5 linked regions of the Ovis aries genome follow. The main gene of each other region encodes a partner of the protein of the gene in region 4 in a complex. Links are inferred from orthologs where the notes say so. Each region holds a gene or a part of one and is shown on either strand. Other genes may lie near its edges. The genes, in order: NSMCE2, NSMCE3, NSMCE1, NSMCE4A and SMC5.

What was found.
Region 1: NSMCE4A (region 4) and NSMCE2 share a complex: the UniProt entries of both Homo sapiens proteins name them as parts of the SMC5-SMC6 complex. The link is inferred for Ovis aries from reciprocal best matches to the Homo sapiens genes NSMCE4A and NSMCE2.
Region 2: NSMCE4A (region 4) and NSMCE3 share a complex: the UniProt entries of both Homo sapiens proteins name them as parts of the SMC5-SMC6 complex. The link is inferred for Ovis aries from reciprocal best matches to the Homo sapiens genes NSMCE4A and NSMCE3.
Region 3: NSMCE4A (region 4) and NSMCE1 share a complex: the UniProt entries of both Homo sapiens proteins name them as parts of the SMC5-SMC6 complex. The link is inferred for Ovis aries from reciprocal best matches to the Homo sapiens genes NSMCE4A and NSMCE1.
Region 5: NSMCE4A (region 4) and SMC5 share a complex: the UniProt entries of both Homo sapiens proteins name them as parts of the SMC5-SMC6 complex. The link is inferred for Ovis aries from reciprocal best matches to the Homo sapiens genes NSMCE4A and SMC5.

Annotation. Positions count from the first base shown.
Region 1 is NC_056062.1:28,029,698-28,033,216, forward strand, and holds part of NSMCE2 (E3 SUMO-protein ligase NSE2), read right to left. Parts: intron 2,507-3,519; coding exon 2,353-2,506; intron 1-2,352. UniProt on the Homo sapiens protein: E3 SUMO-protein ligase component of the SMC5-SMC6 complex, a complex involved in DNA double-strand break repair by homologous recombination. Is not be required for the stability of the complex.
Region 2 is NC_056071.1:25,979,594-25,982,901, forward strand, and holds NSMCE3 (non-structural maintenance of chromosomes element 3 homolog), read right to left. Parts: upstream 2,074-3,308; 5' UTR 1,950-2,073; coding exon 1,092-1,949; 3' UTR 520-1,091; downstream 1-519. UniProt on the Homo sapiens protein: Component of the SMC5-SMC6 complex, a complex involved in repair of DNA double-strand breaks by homologous recombination. The complex may promote sister chromatid homologous recombination by recruiting the SMC1-SMC3 cohesin complex to double-strand breaks.
Region 3 is NC_056077.1:25,321,081-25,323,421, reverse strand, and holds the end of NSMCE1 (non-structural maintenance of chromosomes element 1 homolog), read left to right. Parts: intron 1-1,047; coding exon 1,048-1,329; 3' UTR 1,330-1,352; coding exon of another isoform or gene 1,353-1,474; 3' UTR 1,475-1,612; coding exon of another isoform or gene 1,613-1,692; 3' UTR 1,693-1,828; downstream 1,829-2,341. UniProt on the Homo sapiens protein: RING-type zinc finger-containing E3 ubiquitin ligase that assembles with melanoma antigen protein (MAGE) to catalyze the direct transfer of ubiquitin from E2 ubiquitin-conjugating enzyme to a specific substrate.
Region 4 is NC_056075.1:41,386,855-41,391,112, reverse strand, and holds the start of NSMCE4A (non-structural maintenance of chromosomes element 4 homolog A), read left to right. Parts: upstream 1-1,457; 5' UTR 1,458-1,549; coding exon 1,550-1,841; intron 1,842-2,020; exon of another isoform or gene 2,021-2,286; coding exon of another isoform or gene 2,287-2,296; intron 2,297-2,526; coding exon 2,527-2,604; exon of another isoform or gene 2,605-4,151; intron 4,152-4,258. UniProt on the Homo sapiens protein: Component of the SMC5-SMC6 complex, a complex involved in DNA double-strand breaks by homologous recombination. The complex may promote sister chromatid homologous recombination by recruiting the SMC1-SMC3 cohesin complex to double-strand breaks.
Region 5 is NC_056055.1:66,422,238-66,425,756, forward strand, and holds part of SMC5 (structural maintenance of chromosomes protein 5), read right to left. Parts: intron 449-3,519; coding exon 307-448; intron 1-306. UniProt on the Homo sapiens protein: Core component of the SMC5-SMC6 complex, a complex involved in repair of DNA double-strand breaks by homologous recombination.

The sequences.
Region 1 (3,519 bases), on a different chromosome or scaffold from region 4:
GCTGAGCTGCCTTGAGAAATTAGGTCAGACCTGATTTTGGTCTCCTTGATTTCCCCCCACCTAAGAGCTTCCTGGTATTTCTTTCATTAAGTCCTTATTTGGTAAAATGTAATCCCATGCAATTTATGTTCTTAAATAATAAAGTTGGTGAAAATGTGGGGTGATTTTCATTGAAAGAACTCTTCTACTATGTGCAGACCATAAAAATGCTTTAGCCTTTGTCAAAATAGGCAACTAGATTCAAGTATCTCTCCCTGGCTTGTCTTTTCCAACCTTAAAAAAAAAAAATCCACAAAATTACTATTGTAATTCCTTGCCTTCAGAACATCTCTCAAAATAAACAGATTCACCAGCTTCTTTATAAATTATAATCTCTTTGACTTGGCTCCACAAAACTGTACAAGCCTGGTGCTAACCAGCATCCTCACTAGCATACATCTAAAGAAATGAAATCCAGGAGGCATGGCACCAGTTTAACTGATAGCACTAACAATGATGCACTAAAAATCACATTTTTGCAAGTAAAGTATATACATCTTACACAGTATCTTACAAGAATATTAATTAATATTTTGCTTGTTTTACCATTTGATATTTTAAAATTTTTAAAAAGATTACTTTAGGAGACATAATAAGGAAAGTTCTCTTAATTCTAGTGTTACCATATGTAAGGAAACCATATATAAGGAAGTTTTCTTAAATATAAATTTACTCTGTAGTAAGGTTTAACTATCCAGACAAACGATGTATACTGCTGGCCTGGGGAAACCTCTTCCTCATTCCTCATTTTAGAGAGAATTAAAGAAATGATACTATAATTCCAATAATTATAATTCTGTTGAATATACACTGTTAATTAGAAGGCACTTCCACATGAGTATATGATTCTAAAGATCTTTATAGTTTTCTCTTATGGAATAATAACTTTGTAAACAATAACAAAGTGGGAAGAAATTTCTGTTTTTTGAATATTTGTCCTTTAATCTGCATTATAAAATATCTAAAAAAAAAAATCAAGAATTATGATCAGATGCTAAATCTGCCATAATTTGTGATTATTGTCTCCAAGAAGAAAAATAAAATAATTTGGTTATTTTGACCAAAGCAAGAACTTCAATTTAATAGCATCTAGAGCAGAAAGGCACTAGCAAATTATTACCTATTTGGAGAATTGTTATCCATCTGGGGAAACAGTACAGATTAATTTAGAGAGATTTGGTAGCTATGCTGTTCAATGAAGAACAACAACCACCAAAAAAACACATAGATTTGAAATGTGGGGAAAAATGCTTACTATTTAAATTTACAGTAAAAGCAAAAGTCTCATCATGATTGCAAAACATTCCAAATTGTGAAACTTAAGTTATTTGTAAAACAGACAAAAGTAAAGCTGCTTCCTCAGTTATTTTTTGAGATCTCATCATCAATTTAAAGAAAATGCTTATATTTAAAAGAAGGCCTATTTAAAAATAGGAATCCTGCTAAATACAAATATGAACATGAAGTAAATTTATCTTATATCATGTATTCCTGTCCCATGTATATGCAAATGAAGATGATATGAAACCAAAGTTAAAAAAAAATTACTTTCTTCAATTCTCTAAGGAATAAAAGAGCCTCAAACCTAAAGAACAGCAACTGATGCTAGTGTAAAAACAATAAAATTACGTAAAATTGGTATGTAGATTATATGGGGAAAAAGGGAGAAAAAAAAAAAGGACATGTACTTCACTGTATAAAAAACATATTTCTGCCAACACTGTCTTCAAGATTTTGGGGGTACAATTAATAATTTTTCTACTCTCATTTTTAAATTAAAATTATGTGCATTAAAAACCTGAGTATAATAAAGTTTCCTAGGAAGGCAAAAAAAGAAAAAGAAAATCACGTGGAATTTATACTACCACCCAGATAGAACAGATCAAGAGGATTTTGGTCTCATATTTGAGAAAACATTGCTCCTACTACTGTAAAACAGCAAAACTAGAATCAAGATACAGTTATTTTAAAGCTTGGCACAGCAGTTTAAAGTTTGAAAACTACCTTTGCTATTTAGTTTTATTTTTCCAATTTCTTTCCCAGCACTGGGACAATAACAGTGTAACTTTCTCTACCTGCTGGGGAATTTTCTTAGCACTTTGTGGAAACCGTTGGCTTTCAGAAATGGATAGGCTGATTTGAACCAAAAGTTAGACAAAATACAGATTTGCAACAACAATAAAAAAGCGATTCAGAAAGAAGATCAAGCCAAGCAGATAAGCAAACTCTATAAAAATCAGTTTTCTGGGACTGTTCATCCAGTCACTTCCCTAATTTAAAAAAGCCAAACCAAAGCAAAGCATGCTGACTTACATTGCTTCTTTAGTTCTTTCAGCTGTTGTTTAAATTGGACAAATTTTTCATTATTTTGAAAGTCTGCATCGGAATTCTTATTCTGTAAAGCCAAAAACTTCTTCTCCACTAATAATTTTAGATCAGGTATTTTCTCTGAACGTTCTTCTTTTACCTGAGGAGGACAATAAAATTACTGTAGTTAAATGTTAACAATGACACAGTCTTGTAACAGTATTTTTCTTGCATTTTATTCAAATATAAATATAGAGGTAGAAAACAGAATTTCCTTCAACAGAGAACCAGGGAGACAGGGCCCTGTTTCAGAAACAGACTGCTAGTGGACAGCTGAGAAATTCATTTACCCCATCTACCCTTTGGTTTCTTACACTATCCCTTCGTTGCCCTGCTAACTTGCCGTGTCCAGACAACTACCACGCAACTGTGTCCCCCACCTTCACCCGAAACTGAGCATGACGGTGCTTCTTCTCATTTAGGTCTATGCGGTCCCTCCTCCTTCTTCTCAAGTCTGTCCTGCTTTCTCTCCAGCACTCCTCTTCTCTGGTCCTAGGCCCCAGCAGGTGAGGCTAGCTCCTCCTTCACAAAATGAGTGGAGACTTTAGCCCCGAACTTCCACCATCTGCAGTCACCTGGAGTAAGTGTCCCTAGTCTGTTCAAAGCTAACCTCTCAATCTTTATTCTCCCCTCCCCCAATATTTTATTATAAAATTTTCAAACATGCAAAAATGTTGAAAGCATCATATTTTACCATTCAAAGTCAAAAGATTATCTGTAAGTCCTCTGCTTTGATTATCTTCTGTCATGGAGGAAAGAATTAGATAATCTTCTTTTGTTTAATTGCTATGCATGCGCCAAATCAAAACTGAAAATTAAGCATGAAATCAAAATACCTAAATCTATATATAAAGTACGGAGTATAGGAACTGTCTTCTCATTGCACTGATGAAGCTCAACCAGTGCTGGATCCATCATCAAAGAGAGGTGTGAAAAACGTGGCGAGGCTTTAGCGACAAGTCATATGTAATTGAAAATTTAAAATAAGTCCTATCAGGCTAAAGAAACAATAAAGCCCAGTTTGGAAACAAGAAGGTACAAAGACAATCAACCGAATAATGCCTAATATCACAAAAATAACAGTACTTCTATCCAGTGCATGGTTATTCTCTA
Region 2 (3,308 bases), on a different chromosome or scaffold from region 4:
ATAAACCACACAGTAGAGTCGGACTAGAAGGACAGTCATGATTTACAAGAGAATGAAAGAAAAAGTTAAAAAGAAAAAACTTTAACAGTCCTAAGCCAAGGAAAAAAAGCCCAATTTAAACAAATTTGTGCCCATAACTTTACATAAACTTCCATACCTAATTATCACACTACCATACACAGTAACAGGCAGCATCAACCCGTTTTATAGGTAAGGAAAGGTCTGTGTACAACTTAATCTCCTTAAATTTGTAAGTGAGGCAGACTCTGAACCCACTAGTCTGATTCCCAAATAGGCATGGTTAATCACTAAGACTTTTATCAACTTTTCCATGACCCACAGAAATAATTTTACATCATGATCCAGTATGTCACACATATAAAAGTAAAGCAACTTCAACAAAACACTATTTACCTCAATGATATGTAACAAAAATTGTTTTCTTTTTTCCTTATGATGCTAGTTTTCAGTCATGAAATTTCTCATGAGTTAGGGTTAAAATAAATGCATAATGCTAAATTGCTTCAAAAATACAGTATTTATTATAACTATAGTAGCAAAAAAAATTGAACAAAATGGTCAGCCACACAGCATAGTAATTATCAATGTAAAAAGTTATTTGGAAAAACTACAATACACACATTGCTTAGAATGACTCAAAATGCTTACATGCATAGAAAACAGATTTTTTAAATAGCTGCGTTAAGGTAATAGGGGATATAGGCAATTACACTTTCGTTTTCAATTTACGAAGACTTTTCCTTTACAGAGTGGGGCAGTTCAAAGGCCGGACAAGGGCCAGTTCGCTTATATTTCCTTGGCAGTTCCAGATCCGGGTAGGAAGTTTTCCAATTCGCTTTATAAAGCTAACAAGATCTTTACACCAAAAAACACAGACACTGAAGCAAATCAAAACAAAACAAGTCACCCTCTAAATGAAATTTTAGAATCAAAACGACTTACAACATTACAAGAATTAAAGTTTGCAAACACTTCCTGGAACTACCACGCATTTAAACAATCAAGATGCTTCCTCCCACCTCCAGCCCTTCCCCCGGGGAGGGAGAGGGCCCTGGGGTGTGTCTCAGATTTCAAGAGACAGGAGCAGGGGTTGGGGCAGAGGCAGTGGCTGGACTCGGGCCCGCGGGCTGGGGTCTGGCCCTGGCCTCCTCGTCCGCCAAAGCCTCGCAGTACTGCGCCGGCCAGTCCTTGGGGTCCTGGTTGTGGACTTTAGCCACAAACTTGAGCACCTTCATCTTGCTGGTCTCCAGGTTGGTGCGCGGGCCCCACTGGAGCTCGTAGTCCACGGGGTCCGTGTGCGGGATGCGCCGGTAATCCAGGTATCGCTGCCGCACGAAGTCCTCGGTGATGAGCTTCTTGGGTTCCCCGAAGATGAGGTGCTTCTTGTCGGGGTGTACCCCGAGGCGCCGCAGGAAGTCCCAGACCTCGGTCTCCTTGATGGTATTGCCTTTCATGAAGATGAGCCCCAGCACGATCATGAGCAGCCCAGTGGTGGGCGTTCCCTGGTCTCCGCGCACCTCCGCGTCCTCTTCCACCGGTTCCAGCGTGTTGACCAGAATGTAGGTGTTGCTGCGCGGCTCCAGCTCCACCAGCCGGTACCCGAACACGTACTCCAGGCGCTCGGCCGCCCGCCGCAGCAGCTCTGGGAGCACATCCTTGTAGTCGCCGACCACATGCCGCAGGATGTCGGTGCGGCGGATAGGGATCTTCCTCTGGTCCTTGATCAACAAGAACTGCACCAGCTCCGCCACCTTCAGCTCCAGCTGCTTCTGCGAGCGCGGCCCCGGCGCGGGGGAGGCCTGGGCCCGCCGCTGCGACGCGGCGCCGCCCGGCCCGCGAGACGTGCTCGGGGCCTCCTCGCCGCCGCCACTCGGCTCCCGCTCGCCCTGGGAACTGGGGCGGCCCCGGCTCTTCGGCTTTTGCGACATGTCGCGGCGGCGGGACCCCGACCGCGCGGACTCCCCGTAACCGGCAGCGGTGGCAGGGATTGAAGGTCGGTTAGCCGTTAGTCCGTGGGGCTGTGGGAGGGCCCGGAGGAGAAGCGGTTGTGTCACAGAAGCTGCGCGCTTGCGTCACAGAAGCTGCGCGCTTGCGTCACGGAGGCTGCGCGTTGCGTCATCGAGGCCGCGCCGCGTCTAGAGGTCGCTCCGGTCTGGCCAGCGGCCGCGGACGGCGGCGGTAAGAAGCGGGTATTCCTTGCAGCCTTTCGGGCTGTATTATGATTAAGTGTCGTCGTTATTACCAAACCCTGCAGATGGCGAACAGGAAGCAGAGCTCCTGAGCGAGTGTGCGGCTTGGCTCAGGATCGTACCCAGGCCAGGGCTGTAGAAACTTGAGAGTCAAAAGCTCTGAAATCAGGGCTGTATGTAGGTGAAGGAAACTCCCAGGATGAATATGGGAGAAAAATACGGCGAAGAGCGTGGAAAGGAAGTAAGAGCAATTTCTTTCCACACGAAACGACGTAAAGACAATTAAAAGACCCCAAGGACTACTAGTTTGCCTTCGCCAGCCCCTTCTCACCATTTTCCACCAGTTACTTTCTCTAAAGCCCGAGTCTGTTTAGAAACAATGGTAAACAGCTTCGTCTCGCATACAGGGCTCTTTCTCCGTGTCTTTTCACCTTTCAGCCTTGATATTCTGTGTAATCAACTCTTTCAGCCGGACAGCTATGGCACAGTCACCCCAGAAAGCACGATAAGTGGAGGGTTTTTGCTTGATCCGGGGAGTTTTATCTATTGGAAGCACGTGCTCATGGAAAGATGGGCCTTGGGCTCACAACCACAGATCTGGCAGAAATGGCTAAGAGAATGCTACCAACAGAGAAGTCGGTCTCAAGAGACTACCATTTAATTTGGGGCATCTCTGACCAAGAATTGCTAACATGTGAGTCTCTAGCCTTAGAGATCAATGAGAAAGCGAAAACTCCAGGTTATCATCCGTCATAATCTGTGAAATATCTACTTTATATTTTTAATTGTGCTGCTTTAGTAACCAACGTGAGTCATTTCATTAACTCAAACCATCTGTAATCTGCTGCCATTACATCCACAGATCCTAGCAAATGGGTTCCTTTTCTATTTACTGACTTGCAAAGGCGAAACTTAATTTCCCTCTTTGTCTTCTTAAAGCTACCAGAAAGTGGGTAAACTGTTCAAAGAACCAAATCAAGTTGAGTTCCTCTTTAATGCAAATATATTCAAAGGAAAGCAATTCACAACACATTATTTGAATAATAACATCAAAACACAACCTTATTAAAATTTCATTAAATGTTGGTAGCATAAAAT
Region 3 (2,341 bases), on a different chromosome or scaffold from region 4:
CTCACTCAGGGCCCAGGGCTCACTCAGGGCCCAGGCCTCTGACCACGGGCATCTCCTCAGAAGCATCTGACGACAAGTGCACGAAGGCCTGCTTCTCCCTGCTCCTTCTGCTCTGTCCCAGGCTCTTTTTATTTTTGCCCCCTGCCCTGCTGTGTGCCTTTGCCCAGGACCCCCACTGTCGCCCCAGGGCTACAACGCGTGCTCTCAGAAGTCTGTGTCTCCTATTATCGTGGCAGCAACGCGCCAACCATCTTTCTGTCTCAGCCACAGATTCCTGTCGTCTGTTGGCCTCTGAGTACATTGTACAGCTTCAGAGCAGAGCAGCTGGACCAGTGCTGGATGATTCTGCTTTTGCCTTTTTGCTTTAGACTTTTCTGATGCCTTTTTTAAGGCCTTCATTGAGTTTGTTACAGCGCTGCTTCTGTTTTTTTATGGTTCGGTTTTTCGGCAGTGAGGCAGGTAGGACGTCAGCTCCCTGACCAGGGATCGCGCCTGCACCCCCTGTGCTGGAAGGCACAGGAGGCCCAGGGAAGCCCCTGTGTTTCCTCCTTTTTCATTCTCTTTTTGCATTTATCAGTTGCACTGGGCTGGGCCTCTTGGCACATCCATCCTTGGGCACCTAGTGGTTATGTTTCTTGGGTTGGAATCCCAAGAGTGGAATTTCTAGAACAGAGTGTGCACACGGCTGTTTAAAGCTCTGCCCCACGCTGCTGAAGTGCCTTCTGAAAGCCGTGGTCGTCTTCATGCCCCCTCCAGGGCCCACTCATGCTCAGAGTCCAGGCTTGGGGGCGGCCTTGCTGCTCCAAGGTCCTGGCCGCCACCCACTCTGCCCTGCTCTGGCCTCTGGAGCCTTGAGCTTCTTCCCTTTGCACTCACTTGTCAGCTGCTTTACTAAAACCCACTGCACTGAAGACTCAGAGTTGTTCTCATTGTCCGTTTGGGGCCTGGAAGACAAAATTACCAAGCCAGTGGGATGTCTTCTTTGCAGTCCGCTGAAGGGTTATGAACACAGAGATGTGTTCTCAAGCCATCACTTTCTCATTTCAGGGTCAAAGCTGTGAGACGTGTGGAATCAGGATGCACTTACCTTGTGTGGCTAAGTACTTCCAGTCCAACTCGGAGCCGCACTGTCCCCACTGTAACGACTACTGGCCCCACGAGGTGCCAGGTCTGTGTCTCCCAGCCACTTGCTTTCCTCCTGGCCTGTGGCAGGGCTGTGTGTATGCCAGAGTGTGCGTGCCCAGCATTGAGGGGGCACCGGGGCGAGGGGCGGCAGGGCACCCCAACAAGGGCTCCATGTGTGTGCGGGCCCTGGGCCCCATGTACTGAAGTACCTTCTGTGGTCATTGGAGGCCGGCCTGCTTGCTGGTGTTGGTTCCGCAAGGTGCTCTGGAACCCAGCAGAAACCCTGAGACGCGAGAGGGTCTGGTATAGTAAACACGCTCCCCTGCAGCTGTCTCTGGAGGGGAGGTGAAAGTGCATCCCCAGACGGGCTCATCCTGCCTCCCTGGGGGGTGAACTGTTCCGTGGGACAGAGTCCTCGGCACAGGCTTATGGCTGGGGGCGCCCACCAGCCCCGCCACTCACAGTGCCTTCTGGCTTTTCTGTGCAGAAGTCTTCGACCCCGAGAAGGAGAGGGAGACCGGTATGTCCAGATCAAACAAAAGGTCCTTACGGTCCCGGCAGCACTAGCCAGGCCGCCGCCTTCGGGGGAGTGACCGCCTGCCCCATTTGGAAGAGAGGCATCAGTTTCACGGTTCGCGTGGATCACCTTTTTACCTTTTATGTTTGCTTGTTAACAGGTTTGGAATAAACTTGCTCAGCAGCTCCTGCGGCCTCATCTGGTGGCGCGCCCCTCTCTTGGCACTCACTGAGAGCTGGGGGCCTGGGCTCGGGTCTGGGCTGCGGCTGGCCGAGCGCCTCCTGCCCAGCATGGCCCGAGGCCACTTGCTCAGGACAGCGTTGCTTTCAGTCCCTAGCTCTGGTCACTGGTCCTACTCACACTGGCCAGCCCGACTTACTGGATGTGTGGGAGCCTTAGCCTTGGGCCCGCCCCATGCCCCACACTCTCCCTGGCCCGAGGTGCACCGGCCTGCACGGCACGAGGCTGCGGGAGGGGCTGTGGCTGTGTGTCATCTCTGGGCGCTCTGCCTCGCCTGCAGCTGCCCCAGGCCTGACCCAGGAAGTTGGCCTGGGTGCCACCTTCCCCTGGGTCTCCTGCATCACGCCTACCACCAAATCCTGTGCAGCCCACCTGCCAGATGGCCCTCAGCCCCACGGCCACCACCCAGGCTGGCCCAGCTCCCCTCCCCTCTGCACTGCTTCCAGATTCTCCCTCAGG
Region 4 (4,258 bases):
AGCCCGATCTTCGGGGAATGGGGATGAGATTACCATGATTCATTTCAGGGCATACCTTTCCTGAAATCCAGGTTAAGCAGGAGTGAGGTGTGATATATGCTGCAAAGAATAGTGCTTATCTCAAACTGAGTACATCTGATTCACAACATGGTATTTTTGTAGACTTGGGTAGTAACTCAACTGACATTGTTCCTTTGAAAAAAAATGGGTTCTCAGCACCGAAAAGAACTCTTGAGAAATATTTGCAATACAATCCAAAATACGTGGGAGATTCATATACTTATCTTTAAAACTGTATTAATATAATTTCATAGTTTTTAGACCCATTTAAAAGTATTTTAGAATCTTTCAGCTTGAGGACCAAATATGAACATAAACTGTCAAGGTGTAGATATTTAAAAACGATGGTTAACAGAGTTTACTCCAAGAAAATCAAGGAACCTTGTCAATTTTCTGTTTGTTCAGTTGTTCTGTCCTCAAAAAAGGTGGGATTGGGACTTCCCTGGTGGTCCAGTGGTTAAGAATTCATCTGAGGATCCCACATACCACAGGGCAACCAAACCCCTGTGCCACAACTGAGCCCAGAAGTCTATAACCCATGCTCCAAAACAAGAGAAGCCAAGGCAATGAGAAGCCCAAGAACCACAACTAGTGATAAGCCCCCCACTGGTGGCAACTAGAGAAAGCCTGCCTGCCCAGCAACAAGGGCCCAGTGCAGTCAAAAATAAACTCAGACAGTAAAGAATCTGTCTGCAATGCAGGAATTGAGGGTTTCCACTTCAGTATTCTTCAGTATACTGAAGAACCCACTTCAGTATTCTTGCCTGGAGAATTCTATAGACAGAGGAGCCTGGTAGGCTACTGGAGTCCATGAAGTCCCAAACAGTTAGACAGGACTGAGCGATTAACACTTTTCACTTTCAAAAAAAAAAAAAAAGTGGAGGGGGGATTACCAGCTGTTCATAAACTCCACTGGGTCCCTGCCATAATGGCTCAAGGAACTAAGGTCACAGATAGTGAGTGGCAGAATCTCATCTTTCGTCTCCATGTCCAGCGCGCATCCTGCTTAACTGCAGGAGACTCGATCAACAAACACGGTCTGCGTGCCCATTACCTGGCAATGTCCCAGATATTTCTGTCTGGAGCTTGGAATGAATTTCCAGCTGCAAGAATGCTAAGTATTTGTTTTAAGGGTGTGGCTGGGTCCGGGAGAGCCAGGGAGACCCCGGGGAAGGTGAAAGTCTAATAAGGTGGGCACGGAGGACCAGACCACGAAGATTATAAGCATCTAAAGTGGGATCACAGGGTATCCAACGTCAGGGGCGTGCAAAGTCAGGGGCCTGAGCCGCCCGGTGCCCGCCTGGCGGCGCTGTAGCCACTGCGCCCCCGGCCTCGGCCCCTGCCGCCGGCCTCCAGCCACAGGCGTCGCTGTGCGCTCGCGCCGGCAAGGGAGCCGCGTTCCGGGGGGAGCAGGCGCTTAGGGTGTGCAGGGCTTTCAGTTTCTGGCGCGAACTTCCGCCGTTCCAAAGTTGCAGGGAGGCTTGGCGCTATGTCCGGGGACAGCAGCGGCCGCCGGCCCGAGGGCCGGGGCCGGGGCCGCGACCCGCACCGGGATCGCACCCGCTCCCGCTCCCGCTCGCGGTCCCCGCTGTCGCCCGGGTCCCGCCGCGGCGCCGCGCCCGAGCGCAGGGAGGCCCCAGAGCGCCCGGGCTTGGAGGATACCGAACCGTCGGATTCCGGGGACGAGATGATAGACCCGGCGAGCCTGGAGGAGGAGACCGACCCCAGTCTGTGCCGCCAGATCCGCCATCAGTACCGGGCGCTTATCAACTCGGTCCAACGTAAGGCAGGGTAGCGAGGCGGGAACGGCGCGCAGGCCCTGCGCGGCCCAGCTGGTTCGTGGAGCCCGGGACCAGCCCCGCGCCGCCCGGCCGTTCCCGGGTTCGGGGTTTACGAGGCACTCGCGCATCTGTCGTGCGGATCGCAAGGCACGACCTTGGCGGGGGCGCGCGAGTCCCCCAGGGGCGGGACCGCCCGAGGCCGGGCGCGGTCTGGAAGCCAGGGAGAGGAGGCACGAGGAGCCGGGGCGCATTTTCTTAGATCCAGCGGTTCCCCGCCGGCAGTCGCCCGCCCGAGGCAGCTGCCAGAAATGCAAATTCCCCAGTGTACTGGACCTACCTATTCTGAAACTCTGGGTGGCCCGGCTGTGCAAGCTGTGGCTTGCAGAGTTAGAGAGTCCTTCTGATTAAGAGCGCTCTTTAGAGGCTGCAGAAGGCGTGGAAGCCCATGGGTGAAGGTTAGGGGGAGCGAAGTGGGTCCCCTTTTCAAGTTCATTCTGCTAATGGGGTAGTCATCTTTTCTGTTGTCAGGCCGTTTTGGTTAAAGAAATACAGCTGAAAATAATTCCACCGGGGGGTGGGGGTGGGGGCTGGGACTTGGCTCTCCAGCTGCTGCTAGTTACTCTGTCAATGACTTGTTAGCCTATGATGAGCACCTTTCCCAAAGTTTGTATTTTTTTTAAAATAGAAAACCGGGAGGATATATTGAATGCCAGCGACAAGTTAACAGAGGTCCTTGAAGAGGCCAACACTCTCTTTAATGAAGGTAATTCTTTATTTTATGGAAGGAAGCTTTCTGTGATCATATATTTTAGGGTAATTTTAATTAGTTTTGCATGAGAACCGAATGCTTGACACCAAACAACCCCCATATTTATAAGAGTGCTTTACTAGTTTTGGAACCTTTTCCCTTGTAGCACCACTTCTATGATTGTGCACTTATCAGTCCCTAAGCACTGCTTCCCTGATGGATCAGGGGTTAAAGCGTCTGCCCACAATGCGGGAGACCTGGGTTCGATCCCTGGGTCAGGGACGATCCCCTGGAGAAGGAAATGGTTAACCCGCTCCAGTATTCTTGCCTAGAGAATCCCATGGACGGAGGAGCCTGGTGGGCGAGTTGGACACAATTTCACTTTCACTTTCACAAGTACAAACAAGTAGTAAGGGCTTTATTTGGGGGTGGGGAGCAGCAGCCAGTTTTAACAGGCGCTCCAGGAGATTCTGTTGCTTGTTCAAGTTTGAGAACTTTCTGTGTATTAAATTTCTATTGTATTGACTGCTGAGAATTTTTATGTCTTATCTTTCTACTCTATTGACTACCTAGGATGCATTGGATGTATTAAAGAAAGAACTGAGCTGGCTTCTGACATCCTGTTTCTTTTCCTGCCTTCCTCCCGACCTCCCGTCCCTAAGCTCCTTGTTTTGGTCCACCTAATATAACCCAGTGGGGATGGCCAGGTCTACAGGTGGCCCTGTTGGTCTCCAGTGAGGGGAGGGGCCTGAGAAAGAGAAGAATCTCAGCACTGAACTCTAGCATTGTTGGGGGCGAAGGGGCCTCTGAAATAAAAGCTTGGTTTGAATGAAAAGCAGCAGCAATGTTAGTGCTAAGAGGGGTCTCTGTGTTTGAAGACAGGACAGGTCAGGCAGCCCCTGATGGTGTGGGCACTGGGTCACAGAGCCCGGGGACAAGTCCTCAGACTACTTTTCCCTCCTGGCCTTTCTCTAAATTCTATGGGAGCAGAAGAGGAGAGTGCAGACCCATGCAGGTGAAGAAGTCAACAGAGCTGGCCGCTGCCTGGACACCACCACTCCACATGTTCTCTGAGAACCAGAACATTTCTTTCTTTTCACTTGGTGCAACCCCTCCTCCACTCTCTCTAGCTTTTTCTTCTCTTCTGAGCTGGGAACCCCCCTGCCCAGGCTGTCTCTTCAGGGTTGCTCTTGATCCCTGGTCCCCTATTATTCACCCACTGCTGAAAAGTTGTTGATTAACAGATCATTTCCTGCTTGGCCAATTCTACTATGCTAGCTGGGTCGCCTTTTTAAGGCACAGTTACTCAACCAGGCCCTAGGAGACAGTCAGCCAACAAAGGATTCTGTATCCTCCATATATACAGACTGCATGTTCTGCAGCTCCTAGAGATGTGAATCCATCCGTGGGAGATGGGCATTTTCCTCACAGCTTTCGTGGCAGTGACGGGCTGGCGGCGGGGAGGGGAGGTCAGGTCTGCAGCAGCCCAGGAACTAGTCCCTAGCTTTTGCCTCTTGTCTCTCATTCATTGTCACGGTCACAGTAATTCTCCTGAAATAAAACTGGGGAGAAAATTATGCATATGAATACAAAACTTGGAGTCAGTGGGTTCATCAGCCTGAGGAATGTTTGGGCAATCAAAAATTCAAGTGAAATGGCCTTGAGGAGC
Region 5 (3,519 bases), on a different chromosome or scaffold from region 4:
TACTTTGTTTGTGCCCTTTGGAAACTTACTTCTCCTTTTCACAAGCCCATCCATACATTTAAACAGCTGTATCTTACACTATTTCTAAGGCTGAAGGTGTTACACACTTGGAGAATTCTCTAGGTATATAGCAAACTACTTCTGTAAAATGGAGATCTTCCCTCAGTGTCTCTATCTGCCAACTTATTATTTATATTCAAGCACAACACATTTGCCATACCCAAGGAATTAAGATGAAGAAATTGATTTGTTACCAAAAGCGATTCATGGTTTTGAATTTTGTTAAAAGTACCTATGTTAACTTACCTTATCTGCCCGTCCCATGAAAGCAGGTTTGCCTGCTAATCCAAGGCAAATGGCACACACAATGCTGGACTTCCCTGTTCCATTAGCTCCAATAATCATATTCAAGTGGGGCCCAGGAGATACTTCACAGACATCATATGTCCTAAATTATAAAGAGGTGAGATTACTAAGTAGAAACAAGAAGTGAAGAATATTTTCCTACTAAAGCACTTTTTCTTGCTTTACCCGTATCACTAACTATAGGTTTCCTCAAATTCTTTAAAAAGCAACGAACCTTATAAATTTTAATGTAACATTAGTTTATAGGTTGTTAATAATTTACAGGGAAAAAAAAGTCTGTCAGTGAGAGAAATTAAAAAGTGACAAAGTATATCTAAAATTAGAACATTCATGGGAAAATAAAACTTCACATAATTTTTCTCAAATATTAAGTCTGCTGAATAGAGTGAAGTTTGATATAATTTATTCTTTAGTAATTCTAATACATGAGAAAGTCCATCAAAGCTACTGTACAAATGGTTTTTAAACAAATTATATGTAAGTAAAGTGACAGCTCATTCTAAATTTGTGTATTTTACGTTTATATTTCTCTTGAATTAAAATGCTTACTAGAAACTTATCATAGTCAATCGAATTACTTTTATTATAATTAGAAAACTGAAGATATATCAACTCAATAGTTTAATTTATTAATTTTTTAAAATAACATGAATTTCCTTTAATATGCTGCCAGACATTCACCAAAGGATCTATTTGTAGCACAAATTAAATTTTATTCCTATGAGAGGAAACAAGAGTGCATCATCACCAAGCACGTCCGTAACTTTCCCTCATACTAGAAAGCAGCATGCTGTCCTGCTCTCTACCTGCAACAGGAGCATCTAACCCATATTAGTCTTCAGGGAGAGCTATGGCAAGATGTGAAGGAAACTGACTCAGTATCTTTGTACCATGTCCTTGAATATCTGGAACTGGACCCCATAAGTAATGTCCCGTGCCCACAGTTTCAGTTGGCTACCAACTAATTCCCCAAGAGTAAAAGCTTAGCCTATTACTAACTTGCTAAGTATTCAAATAACTTAACCAAGCACACTTCAACTTTAATACTCCAAGAAATTTACAATTCTGAAATTCCAAGTCGTAATAAAATAAATACAGGTGGTAAATAAAAGTATTTTCCTGGCAGGTTTCCAACCCCACTTCTCCGCAGAGCATCCACCTGTCTTTTCAGAAGCTTTATTCTAGTAACAGCAGAGTCTTGAAACAACCCTTTACAACACTGAAAATAAAACTAGTTTGGGAATTTCAGACATCTGGAAAATTATCTGACTTGGAGCTTCTTAATCAACACATGCAGCTCCATTCTTTTAATATTTGATTTTCCTGCTGTGAACTGTCTTACTAAAACAGTGATGCAACTGGTATTTAAGCAAACAAATACAGCAGAAAAAAGCATGAAAACTTCTGACCTATATTGTTACACACAAACACTATAAACACGAAAAGCTGCCAAAAACTAAATAAAGCCTCTGCATTTAAAAGAGAGAGAAAAAAAGAAACCATTCTGACCCTACAATATGTTTATTGGAAATTCCCTTTTGTGAGTTCCCTTTTCTCTGACCTCCCCCTGAAAAAGCTAATTTCAGAGGCCACCCTCTTCTGAGTTTACATACTTTATCTAGTACCTCATATATTCTCCATGGCCTCAGGTAACATCTACATACTGAAAGTCGGTTCAGATGACCTACAGATGCAATTCCCACCTCAAGAACTCTATTTGGATGTCCTACAACGGTCACTTCAAACTTAACATATTCAAAACTATTACACTGGTGCAAAAGTAACTGTGGTTTTGCATTGTTGAACTTTGCTGTTTGATATTGGAATAGATTTTCAAATAAATGTGGTTACGTTATACATCATTTTAATGCACATTTTTTTTTTTTGCTAATGACTTATCACTCGCTGTTTATTTTATATTTATTTTAGACCAGGGAAATGATGTTAAACAAAATGCAAATTCGAGCAATTTTCTTATTCGAGTTCAAAATGGGTTCAAAATTGGTTGTAAGGCAGCAGAGATAACTCACAACATCAACCACGCATTTGGCCCAGGAACTGCTAGTGAAACTGCACTGGCTCAAGAAGTTTTGCAAAGGAGATGAGAGCCTTGAGGATGAGCAGCACAGTGGCCGGCAACTGGAAGTTGACAACAACCAATTGAGAGGATTATCAATGCTGAACCTCTTACAACTACACCAGAAGTTGCCCAAGAACTCAATGTCAATCCTTCTGTGGTCATTCGGCATTTGAAGCAAATTGGAAAGGTGGAAAAGCTCGTTAAGTGGGTACCTCATGAATAGACCAAGAAAAAAAAACCCGTTGTTTTGAAGTGTCATCTTCTCTTATTGTATGCAACAACAAACCATGTGATGAAAAGTGGATTTTATATGACAACCGGTGATAACCTGCTCAGTGGTTGGACCACGAAGAAACTCCAAAGCACTTTCCAAAGCCAAAATTGCACCAAAAAAAGGTCATGGTCACTCTCTTGGTGGTCTGCTGCCCATCTGATATACTACAGCTTTCTGAATCCTGGTGCAGAGAAACCATTACATCTGAGAAGTATGCTCAGCAAATCGATGAGATGCACAGAAATTGCAATGCCTGCAGCCAGCACTGGCCAACAGAATGGGCCCAATTCATCTCCATAACGCCTGACCATATATCACAAAACCAACTCTTCAAAAGTTGAAAGAACTGGGCTAAGAAGTTTTGCCTCAACAGCCATATAACCTATCACCAACCAATTACCACTTTTTCAAGCATCTCAACAACGTTTTGCAGGCAAATCACTTCCACAACCAGCATGAGACAGAAAACACTTTCCAAGAGTTCGTCGAATCCTGAAGGACAGATTTTTATGCTACAAGAATAAACAAACTTATTTCTTGTTGGCAAAAATGTGTTGACTGTAATGGTTGCTATTTTGATCAATAAAGATGTGTTTGAGCCTAGCTATAATAATTTAAAATTCACAGTCCAAAACCGGAATTACTTTTTCATAAACCTTTAAAAAAAAACATCTAAAACCACTCTTGTAGTCTCTTAGTAAAGGATATAATTATTCATTCCTCTGCCCACAGCAGAAACCTAGGCATCATCTTTGACTCTTTTTGTCTCCTCACCTCTGTTCACGCTACCCACCCATTC